3 linked regions of the Daphnia pulex genome follow. The protein of the gene in region 2 interacts with the protein of the main gene of each other region in a pairwise test. Links are inferred from orthologs where the notes say so. Each region holds a gene or a part of one and is shown on either strand. Other genes may lie near its edges. The genes, in order: neural Wiskott-Aldrich syndrome protein-like, cytoplasmic protein NCK1-like and sorting nexin lst-4-like.

The links.
Region 1: the proteins of cytoplasmic protein NCK1-like (region 2) and neural Wiskott-Aldrich syndrome protein-like interact in a two-hybrid assay, tested with the Drosophila melanogaster proteins (2 studies listed by BioGRID). The link is inferred for Daphnia pulex from reciprocal best matches to the Drosophila melanogaster genes dock and WASp.
Region 3: the proteins of cytoplasmic protein NCK1-like (region 2) and sorting nexin lst-4-like interact in a two-hybrid assay, tested with the Drosophila melanogaster proteins (2 studies listed by BioGRID). The link is inferred for Daphnia pulex from reciprocal best matches to the Drosophila melanogaster genes dock and SH3PX1.

Annotation. Positions count from the first base shown.
Region 1 is NC_060019.1:7,011,795-7,015,547, forward strand, and holds the start of neural Wiskott-Aldrich syndrome protein-like, read right to left. Parts: upstream 2,212-3,753; 5' UTR 2,069-2,211; exon of another isoform or gene 2,052-2,068; intron 2,009-2,051; exon of another isoform or gene 1,863-2,008; 5' UTR 1,844-1,862; coding exon 1,742-1,843; intron 1,674-1,741; coding exon 1,446-1,673; intron 1,374-1,445; coding exon 1,277-1,373; intron 1,216-1,276; coding exon 929-1,215; intron 829-928; coding exon 43-828; 3' UTR 1-42. Other genes in the region: pleckstrin homology domain-containing family J member 1-like, read left to right, coding at 2,394-2,443, 2,511-2,646, 2,714-2,883, 2,946-3,009, 3,078-3,311; wiskott-Aldrich syndrome protein-like, read right to left, coding at 3,509-3,753.
Region 2 is NC_060024.1:8,484,381-8,488,133, forward strand, and holds the start of cytoplasmic protein NCK1-like, read right to left. Parts: upstream 2,746-3,753; 5' UTR 2,552-2,745; coding exon 2,530-2,551; intron 2,444-2,529; coding exon 2,018-2,443; intron 1,948-2,017; coding exon 1,704-1,947; intron 1,640-1,703; coding exon 1,495-1,639; intron 1,416-1,494; coding exon 1,095-1,415; intron 1,031-1,094; coding exon 936-1,030; intron 873-935; coding exon 701-872; 3' UTR 1-700. Other genes in the region: trimethyllysine dioxygenase, mitochondrial-like, read right to left, coding at 3,328-3,598, 3,667-3,753. UniProt on the Drosophila melanogaster protein: Adapter protein that links cell surface receptor tyrosine phosphorylation to downstream signaling pathways and effectors, many of which are involved in regulation of the actin cytoskeleton.
Region 3 is NC_060028.1:5,996,217-5,999,969, forward strand, and holds the start of sorting nexin lst-4-like, read right to left. Parts: upstream 2,663-3,753; 5' UTR 2,476-2,662; coding exon 2,464-2,475; intron 2,308-2,463; coding exon 2,146-2,307; intron 1,996-2,145; coding exon 1,888-1,995; intron 1,821-1,887; coding exon 1,460-1,820; intron 1,382-1,459; coding exon 1,229-1,381; intron 1,163-1,228; coding exon 928-1,162; intron 856-927; coding exon 712-855; intron 649-711; coding exon 453-648; intron 400-452; coding exon 193-399; intron 115-192; coding exon 67-114; 3' UTR 1-66. Other genes in the region: protein AATF-like, read left to right, coding at 2,852-2,942, 3,005-3,753.

The sequences.
Region 1 (3,753 bases), on a different chromosome or scaffold from region 2:
GGACTGCTTTTGATATAGGGAACGATTTTCACAAAAATTTTATTAATCGTCCCAATCGTCATCTTCATCTGGGTCCTGGCCGCTTTCATCACTGTCGGAATGGATGACACGACATCTTTCCTCCAAGGCCCTGGCCAAGGCACCGGCCATACCTTCCATGACATCGTCGCTGACGGCAACAACAGAAGCCTTTTTCTCCACGGGTTTCAGTTCCTTTCCTGCTCTTATTTGACCCAACAAATCGTTGCGTGAATCGAAGGCTGGCACTTTAGCGCCACTCTTCATCGATTGATCGGCATCACTCGGCACCGATTTGAGTTTGTGTCCCTCTTTGATGGCGTCCATCAGGGCGCCACGGACATCGGGTTGAGCTGGAGTGGGTGGGAGTGACGGAGACGAAACAACAAATGAAGGAACAGGAGGAGCAGGAGGTCCACCAAATGAAGGAGGCGGTGGAGGTGGTGGAGGAGGAGGAGGTGCACCGACAGGAGGTGGTGGGGGTGCAACGTTGTTAATTGGTGCCATTTTCGGTGGTGGGGCACGTTGAGGAGGTGCTGGAGGAGCAACAGATGGAGGGGAGGCAATCACTCTTGAAGGTGGCGGCGGTGGAGCTGAAACGGGTGGTGCCGGAGGAGCGATCCTTGCCGTCTGAGGTGTAGACGGAGGATTCCTTGCTGGCACCGGAGGTGCTGAAAACAAACTGCCGCCGGATGACTGTAAACTCGAAATCTCACGAATAGCCGCTTCTTTTCCTCCATGTTTGTCGATAAAATCGTAGATGAATTCACGTGTTGCTTTGTCTTTCAAGTGATTCTCCGATATGCCGGCCTTTCATTACAAAAGAAAAAAAAGTTAAACCATAACAGAAGTTAAGTTAAGACCATAGAAAAGTTAAACACAGAAATGCTGAGCGAAATAGTCGTCTTACTCTGGCGAAGAACTTCAACAGATTTGGATCGACGTTGTCAAGTGCAAATCCTTGATTGGGGTCCCATCCAACGTGACTGATGTGTTTGAAATCTGATGGCCCTCCAATATCCGCTTTGGTAATTTTCTTGTTCTTGTCTTTCTTCCCTTTTTTTGTCACGGTTATACTGTTTGTGATTGTCGCTGATCGTACTGCTGTAGATTTTGGTACCGATCCGTTCGTGGCGACTGGCGTGGGTTTTCCTGGTTGCGGTTGCTGCACTTGCTGCTGTGATAAACGACGGCGTTCTAAAACACAACAACTGAGCTATTAATCAACCATTATTTGTCAACATCAAAATGTACACACCTCGTTTCTCCGATTTCATCCTCAAATATTCTTTGATAGCCATCAGAAAGTATTCTGCCTCGCCTTCATTAGCAAAATTAAACCCGATGCGACATTCCTGCATTCGAAAAATATTAACCAAATTGATATTGTAATTTACTAATATGATCAAATGAATGTCAGGACTCACATCTCCCTCAAAAGTGTGAAAGTAAGGTCTTGGTGCACAGTAGTCAAAAGAACTGTACAATTCTTGCTCCCAGATGGCAGATTGCCTGTCGAGGCAAAATACTCTAAGGAAATAGGATCTCTTGATATTATCTTTGATGAAGCAGACTACACCACAATGCCGTTTGTTCCATGTGGATCTATTGGGTGGATCAGCAAAACAGACCTGAACCACAGCTGACGCCATACTCTGAAAAAGAAAAATTACAAAACATTAAATGTTGACTTTTAGAAGAATCTAGTACTGGGGGGACTTACTTTGCAGCGCAAGCCAATGAGTTTAAATAATTGATCATTTTCTTCTAGTGAAAGAATAGATGATGGTTTGTTTTCAGGTTGGGGACGCTTGGCAGCAGTCATGGCAATGTTATTACTGGTTCTAGATTTTTCAAAATGTGTCAATTAAACTTTCGATCGAAAACTAGTAAACACATCGACAAATTTATATTAAATTGTAACTGTCACACAACTGTAAATAAGGATAAGTAGTTCTTATTGTTTGAACGAATTTTTCACGATTATCATTCAATTGAATTATTATTTATACGCTTATTTCATAAACACTTACGGCAGTCACTCCCTTACCAGTCTCATGAAGATCTACACACGGTGTTTCACAATTTTAAGATACGAGAGTTTTATCTTGAGGAAATAGTCCAATACGGTCCAATGGTTTGGTCCACATCAGACAGGACGAAACAATTCCATCTAGCGGTAAATTCATAAACGCTATGAGAATCACGGGTTGGGATCAGTTGTTTACTTCATGTTCGGAATGTTGATCGCCTTTCATTTCTAAGAACTTCATCTTTTTGTGCTTTTATCTCTTCATTCGATTTGCTCCATATATCATTATTTTTTATCTTGTTGATGAATATATATATTTTTTTCAGTGATTCTTTAAACCAAAATGCATGTGAATGGAAAAGAATTAATAACCACCTCCTTCAAACCTGCGACGTGAGACATTAGATTGTGTATTAGAATAAATACGATGACTATTATACAAAAATTCTTTTTGAAATAGGATTGAAGGAAGAATAAATTACAGAGTTCTTCATCCGGGAAAGTCGAAAGGAAATTTCAAGGAATTCTGGTTTAAATTGACAGGCAATCTTCTTTTTTACTTCGGTTTGAACAATTTTGGAGGAATTAAAGGAAATGTAGGTTTGAAGTACAGAAAATAAGAATTTTGGTCTCATTTTTAAGCTGTTAAAATTTCATTTGCAGGAGCCTATTGGTGTGATAGTTTTAGAAAATTGCTCCGTAGCATTTGATGAAGATGGATCTGGGGTATTTGCTTTTGTTGTTACTTTCTCTGGTGATCAAGACAGACATGTGTTCTCTTGCTTCAGTGTGAATCAAGCACAGAATTGGGTCATAGCCTTGAGGCAAGCCAGGTAAAATTTTTCATAATAATTCATACATGGACAGTGCTGACATAAAATTAATTTTTATTTAGTTATGAACATTTGAGAATCCAAGTCAAAATTTTAGAGAGTAAACTGGAAAGTCTTGGTGGAAAGGTAAGTTTAAAAGGAAAAATTTTAAGGGAAAATTATTGTTAAAATGATAAAATCTTTGGTATGTTCAGAGCATTTTTAAATGGAGTACCACAGCAGCATCATCAAGTAGTACTACACCAAGTAGTGTATTTAAACAGCCTTCCAATTCTGCAGTTCCCGCTTTACCTACGCCCCCAGCCAGAAAACGTATCGGGCCTAAAGCAAAAACATTTGTGAGTCACATGTCTGACGAAAATCCCCTGCCGATAAATTCTTTCATAAGTGATAACAAACAGCCTGATCAAGACTTGATCAAATGGTGATTAGTGATGAAAAAAACAACCGTCCGACTTAAAAAAAACGTGCCAATCATAAAGAGATTTAGATAGATTTGTGTAATTAATATTAACATTCCTCTATTAAGCAAATTAAGTTATGTTCGGCTGATTTTCGAAATCTAGTCATTAAATAATGGCTCAAAGAAAAACTGCCTCTCGTTCGTCGCATTGGTTTGCACTTGTTACAATTGGCTATTCCGCTGTATCACATTGACATCAACAGGCAAACTAATGTCGTTTTTAGAAATCTTCTTTCTTTTGAAGCTGCGTGGCCGTGAACGTTGATGGTTATTTTCTTTTGGTGTGCAGTTACTGATTCGGTTGCAAAAGCCGGTCAAGAATGTTTGAATCAATTGGTTATCAACATTGTACAGAATAAATCCTTTTCGTTTATCCCATCCAATGTGACTGATTAAGCGAAAATCTT
Region 2 (3,753 bases):
AGATTCCTCGATACCAACACGAGTTTTAAAAAAATTAATAATAATAATAACGCACAGTTCCACTGAGGTCTATGGTGATGACGAGTGAGCGACCAATCTGGGAATGAAAGCAAGCGAATCCCTTCTTAAACCCACACATCCCTCAATTTAACTGAAACCCTCAAAAAGATGGCGATAGAATGATTATTTGAAGAAAAAATTGATAATAATCAAAAACCAAAAATTTGAATAAACGAATGGACCCGTGATACCACCGGTGCCCTCCTGAAGTTATATATTTTGTGTTTCCTTTTTCACTCGCCATCTCTTCTCATATTTTGGAAACCGTTACTTTTTGTTGTTGTTGTTGCTGCTGTGCCCCTTTAGTGTTATCAATCAAAATTTAAGGAAACTAACTGGGAGTAAGTCTGTCCAATATATCGGGCTAGCTACGAGATTAAATTCATCAAGTGAGCTTGAAAACGCACTCTCCAAGTGCCCTTGGGTCGTATCTGATGAATGCCGAATAATTGCATAAATGAATTAAATGGATCGTTGTCAACGGCGAGAAAAAAGTTATTGGGGTGGGGGAGCTATCGAAAGAGATGAGAGAGTTGTCTCTTCTGTGTTTTTTTTTTTTTTTTTTATCCTTCAAAGAGAGAACAGTGGGTTCGTAATAAACCCACACATTTGGTTAGAGCTACTTGTGTTAAGACCGCCATTAGGCCATCGGTTGCATCGGTCTTGTCGCCGGAGTGGGTGGTGCAAAAGAAGGTGGGATATATCCGACAGGCTTGGGTAGTGGTCGGATAAGGAAGAGACGTTCTCCTTTTTCTGACGTGAAAATGGGGGATCTTTGGTAGTGGTCTACCAACTGGTCGATAGAATGGAACCTAATTCGAATATTAATCAGAATGTAATTGGAAGACTATGAAATGAATATAATCCGATCTTACCTCCGCTGACCGATGACATACAAAGCTCCTTCGACGTGGACTCGGAAATGCTTATTGCGACCGGGTGCTTTCAGAGACACGGAGTAATCTCCAACCTATTATTTACAAATGAATTAGTAAACGTAAACTCTAAAATAGTTTTTTTTTTAAACAAATTACGTTGGTTTCAGATGATCGCACAAGAAAGTCTCCATCTTGACCATACTGATTAAGTAGATTATCGCATTCAGCTCGGGTGATGGCTCCGTAAAACCAGGATTTTTCTTTCAAGTGAGGGAAATTAGGATCCTGGCTCAGGCTAGCAGATACGGCGGGAGGTGTATTCAAACTCAAGGCATCCAAACTTCGCCCCATGCCGTCTACTGCGTTACTTCCGTTGTTCGGCATCGGGGGCAAATTGCTGACAGGAGGCCCACCTGGAGCACCATTACCACCAGGTGCTCGTTGACGGAAAGGTTCGGTCAAAAAGTCGCTAATCTCCTAAAGAAACAAGAAGAACAAGTTTTATTGTAACGAGCATAACGTTACCAATAATTAATTAGTCACGACGAAATAATACCTGAACGTAGTTCTTTGGAATCAAACCAATTGAACCATTGGTGTTCCGGGCTCGATACCAATCCGGATCTGCAGGTGGACGATCAAGAATTTCAAGTCTCTCGCCTTTAACGAAGCTTAGTTCTTCGTTATTTTGTGCAGCAAAGCTGTAAAATATATCAAATACCAAAATAAATTTTAATCCAAATTAATGACTAAAATTCGGCTTACCTGTAAAGAGCAACTACGACATCCAAAACATTCTCGGCTGCTGAGTACATGTGTTCTCCCGCAGACATAACCATAGCTGATGCAGCCGGCGGTGCGACGCTTGCTGTCATGTTTGCTACAGGCTGCTGCTGCTGTTGTAATGAATCTGGGAGGGTATAATTTGATGGAAACCATCCAATTTGGTTTTGGTATTGACCTTTCCACCAACCATCACTGCTTTTTTCAAGCACGAGCACCTTTGTTCCTAATAAATGCATTGATTGAAGTGTTAGTAAACATACTGGGGGTGTTGACGTCAATTTGCAACAAGTTACCTTTCACAAGAGACAATTCATCAGTTTGCTGAGCAACATAATTGTAACGAACAAGCGCCCAGCCTTGGTGAGGCCCTGCATTGAGATCATGAGCTGGATAATGTGATGTATCAGGAGAAGGGCGCTTGATTACTACTGGAGAATCAACTTCTCTCACGGGAGAGCCACCGGGACTGTTGGAGGATTTGTTGATGCTATTCCCTTTTTTCACTCTCTTCTTGATTGAGTCAAATATAGATGGTTTCTCCTTCTTCACATAATTGCTAGGGACATATCCCCATTGGTGTTGAGAATTTTGAACTTTCCACCAATGTTTTGAGTCATCCAGCAATAGAAGTTTGTCATTCTTCCTTAAACTCAACTCCTGTGATCCTTGGGCAACATAATCATACTTTGCAATGACATAACAGTCTTCAATGGCTTTGCCTGAAACGAATGCAATAAACCAACATATAAACATCAACTAATGACAACTGCATAATGAGTCACCCTATAATAATAAACCAACATACCCATTTTTAGACTGCTAGACATTATGTTGTGCGACCCTTAGCGGACACCAATGAGCAATCACTGCCCAAAAATGCTTTGATTTTGAGCAATACTCAAGCTGAACGATGCAAATTCAATTCAATGACTCGTCTTTATCGATTTTAATCCTCGAAAAACTTTTCGTGGGCAGGGCCAGTTTTTAGTTAGCTGCCATGTTGAATACGATGCCTGCTGAGTTGCCATTTACTTTAAAGGCTAGAGCGGAGCTGACGAGAAATAAAATGTGAAATTTACATTGTAAAAAAAGTTTAGAATTTATAGAGGATTGATCCATCAATTTTGGTCATTGGAATGATTTCCGCGCATGCAATATCGTAACAGATTACGATTATTGCACTGTTGCATTTTCAAATAGTTGCTCAGCCAAGAGGGAACTAAGAGACTTATTTCTATTTATGCTGTACTTCATTTAGCTAGTTTGACTAGTATCCACGAGCCGCAGGTGAAACCATCCCAATCTTTCCACCTCATGATGATCGGGTACCATAACCACTGGACCACGCCAGTAATATCATTTATGAATTTTTTTTACTACACATTAAATTGTTTTATTCACATTTTATTTTTGCGGAGCTGACGAGTCTTTTATAATTTTTTTTAAATTGATGATTATTTATTTTCCGGTAATCATATTCAGTTTACATTAAATTCGAAAATTTCTATGCGTTTCCAAATGCGGGTTTAAAATAACAAATAATTTGTCTTGAAAATGGTATTGTTTTATTGTGCATTGACGAATTAATCGTGGCGCAGTTTAATCAAGATATTATTCCATAATGTCGCGCTTTGCTCATAAAGTCCGATCGGGAATAATAACAACCTCTCAATACTCTTTCACCCTGATAACTTTCACGCCCATGCAAGAGCCTCCAGTTATCAATTATCATCACGGTTCCTGGTGAGAGACGAAACCGATATTCGTTTTCTTTTTTCTTTACGAGCGTCGCCATGGTTTTTAGATAACGATAATGGGTACCGACTTCCTCTTGTGGGATACCAGAAAGAGGCGACCGATCTAGCATGTTGAACCTGAATAAAGAATAAATTTACTGTAATTAAAATAGAAACGCCTTTTTATTCAGACAAAAGTATCTTACCGAATCTGTTCCAACTTATGGCTCACTGGATGATGACGGAAGATGGGACCCCAAGAAGAGAAATGCTCACCTGGTTCAATATACTCG
Region 3 (3,753 bases), on a different chromosome or scaffold from region 2:
AAGGAATGGAATTAAAAAAAAATAATGCGACTTTTAAAATCCGAGTACTGCGGTTGTTGTTTTTTCTTAGACATCCTTGTACTGGGATAAGGTGGACTGCAGATGATCGACAATCTAAATGAAATACATTTCAAACATCTGGTATTAGTAGAGAAGTTGCAAAAAGAAAAAAAAGGAAAAATAAATAATAACCTTTTGATAGTAAGTGATCTGTTCCTGTAGGAAGATTTTTGCGGCTGCATTAAAATCGTGAACACGTTGTTGATGGAAATAGGACATTTCAGCCAGTAGCGTGTAGGAAACAACATCTGTTCGTTGTTGAGCACGAACTACAACGGTGCTTTCCGTTTTACCCTCAGATGCGGAGCGTTCCAACTCGCGCCGCTTTTGAAGGGCCCCCTATAAATTAAAAATTAGTATTGTTTTAAAAATTGCCGAAATTGCTGGGTTACCTTGTGGACGGTAATGATGTCGGGAAATGAGGCAAGTAGTCCACGATAATCGTGTAGTAAATCTCCCATCGGCTCGAAATCCAATCGTGGTTGGTCCTCACAAAGAAGAGCTATCTGATCATACGTGTCAGCAGTATGGGAAAGTGCTCTGGTCAGAGGAGCTGTCTCTAGCAATTCCATAGCCGTGCCAAGAGTTCTACAGAGACAAACAGTTGGTTAACAACAATACAAGGGCGGAGCACTTCTCTTTGAAACCTACCTGAATGATTGGCCAACACGTTGATAGTCGCGTTTATATGGACCTTGCTGCCGTTTTACTTGTTCGGCAAAGTTGCTTTGCATCATGCGGACAGCTGTATCAAACGACTGCACGAAACGCCCAAAAGCTTCGGTCTGAGAGTCACTATGATCAAGAAAAATGTAAAAGCGATCAAATAAACAGTTGAAAAAAAAAAAAACAACAACAAAAACTTACAGTTGTAGTGGGTCAAGCGACTTTTCTGGTACTTGTACAACACCAAAGATTGCGGCGCCAATTACTTCGTCTTTTTCAGCTTTCCGCTTGCCCGTTTTCCATCGTTTGGCATCTGTGCACGTTAAAAAGTGCAACCAGACATCGGAGCGTGAGAGAATTGGGTGGTCACACACACGGCTAACAAATGATTGCAACTGTAGACGTCTTCGCTCGATAAATTGTTCTTCATACCGACCTATTTTAAGTACACAAGTTCAGCAAATCGACTTCAACCAAAAATTCTACAAATATAAGAAATCACCAGAAATTTGCTTGTCTGGAAGGGGAGGAATGGGAATGATGCAAAATTTTTCCACAAGTCTTTCGTGAAGCCAATCGAAATGTTTGTATCGCCTAGAAACCTGGATATTGTTTAACGACGGTGTCAACTGGTAGGCAATGAAACTTTTTAGGCCTACGATGAAAACATAGAAACAAGTTGACACATTAAATTATATTTAAAAATTAGTCGACTAGGTTGTAAAAATATTACCTTTCAATTTTGATTCTTTCTTTGGTGAAGCCACTACACACGAGTAAGGTTGAGGATTCGGAGCCCATGTGATACCGTTGTTGGTTTCGATGATGTGGATTTGGTCACTATCAGTGGACGTCACTTTGTTTGCCCCCAGAATGTAAGCTTCTCCGCCAGTTTTAACGAAGTGAGAAAACCGGTTCAAATTTTTACGAACGGTTCCTTTACCGTCTCCCAATTTCAACCCTGCCATGTTGACATCAAGCGCACTACCAACGTCGCTATTGCTTCTCCCACCTGCAGCAGGGTTTCCCGGATTGCTACCTTGGTTGGCTTCAGAAACGTCATCATCCCAGTCGTCATCCCAATCATCGTCGTACTGGAAGTAGATTGAAAATACCTTATTAATACAGTTACCAGGAATCTCCACAATGTTTTTGGAATACCTGTGATTGTTGCTGTTGAATCGCTGGAGCTACATTTTCCTCTACGTATATCTGGGGCAATGGAGGAGGAGGCATAGCAGGAGGTGCATTGTAATTTTGTTCAATAGCCTGTTGAATTAATACAATAAAATGGTTTTTTGAGGTTTAAAATAATTCAATTTACATGTTATTAATACAGAAAAATCCAAATGATACAAAATTCTTTTCTGGTTTTACACTAGCATGCATGACATAACAGGAGTAGGAAGAAATTCATACCTCAACGTAGGCTGCAGGAAATATTCCACTAACTCCACGTTGATTACTACCTTCCCACCATCCTTCACCAACATCCTTACTAGTGACAGTTAGAACTTCACCAGTAACAATAGATAGTTCAGATGTGCCAGGCTGGCCTTCAAAATCATAAAGGACGCGCGCCTAGAAAAACGATTCATTTTGTAAATTAAACTGGTTTCGAAACCGGATATGGTTAATGAAATGGTAACAGCAGTTACAGGAGTGAGAAAATTTATAGTTCTAACTAGAAGACGAAACTGATAATTAGAAAAACCGGAATCAAAACTCAAAAGTTACCTGACCAGCCATCTCGAAGAATAAAAACTCAGCTTTTTACAATACCCCTGCTGCTGTGTGCTGTCAAACTGATTTCGTCTCGCCCCCTAATAACAGCTGAGAGGAATGAGTCAGTGATGAGCAGAGCTGAATCTGAAACCAAACGATAAGTTACAAAATCTGAGACCCGAGTGACATTTTAAGGCCCTAATGTTTCTTCTGTCTAGTAAGTAATGCCATCTACTGTAGAAAGATATTAACTGCATTGGTTTGAAAGAAAAACAAAAGAAGTACGATTGTTCGAATTCGTCTGCAACGTGTATTGGTAGTAAAACACGCGACACGCGGTATCAATTATTTTAGAATACTGAAACTTAAATGTATACATTGTGAAACATTTATTTATGAAATGTCGAAAGGCAAATCCCTAAGTGAAAGATTAGCCGAACTTGCCAATCCAACACCTCAGTTTGCTGATCCAGAAGATGAATATAACGAAGGTAACAAATTGAAACAAAATAACACCTACTTGTTTTTCTTAAAGTGTTTCTAATCTTTCTAGAAAGTAAAGCAAGGCTGGAGTCCTTTGATGACCAATATGAGTCGTATGATAACACTCAGGTGGTTAAGAATAAAGCACCAAAAAATAAATCTAATCTACGCCAAAAGAATGTGGAATTATTAGCTGTTTCAGATAGCCGATATGCTGGGAAGCGTGTCAGTCGCAAAGATCTAAATTCTCCTGTAGGAGAAGGCTACAAAAGTTCTGAGTCATCTTTAGAATCTGATAATGAAAGTGGGGAAGAAAATATTCTGGAATTTAAGAACAAATTCATGAAAGAAACAAACAACAAATCAGAGAAACCCAACATCTTCCAGGAATCAGAAGACGAAAGTGGTTCATTGAAATCTGATATTCATGAAGAAGATAGTAATGAAAGTGAATTGAATAAATCTGAAGATGACGAAGAAGCTGATTTTGAAGAAGGAGAGGGTGAAGAGGAGGGTGAAGAGGAGGGTGAAGAGGAGGGTGAAGAGGAGGGAGAAGAGGAGGAAGAAGAGGAAGGAGACATTGGAAGTGTAGATGACAGTGAAGGAGAAGAAAATGAAAAAGTTAAAAAAATGTCAAAAAATTCTCATGATAATGATATAAACAAGGGAAAATCTATCCAAAATCAACTCTCATTATGGGATCATCTTCTTGAGTGTCGTATAAAGATGCATAAAGGAATAAATTTATGTAATCAGTTACCTCAAGCTCCTTCAAATTACAAGCTTTTTACTAAAGCAAGTGGAGAAAACCATTTTGTT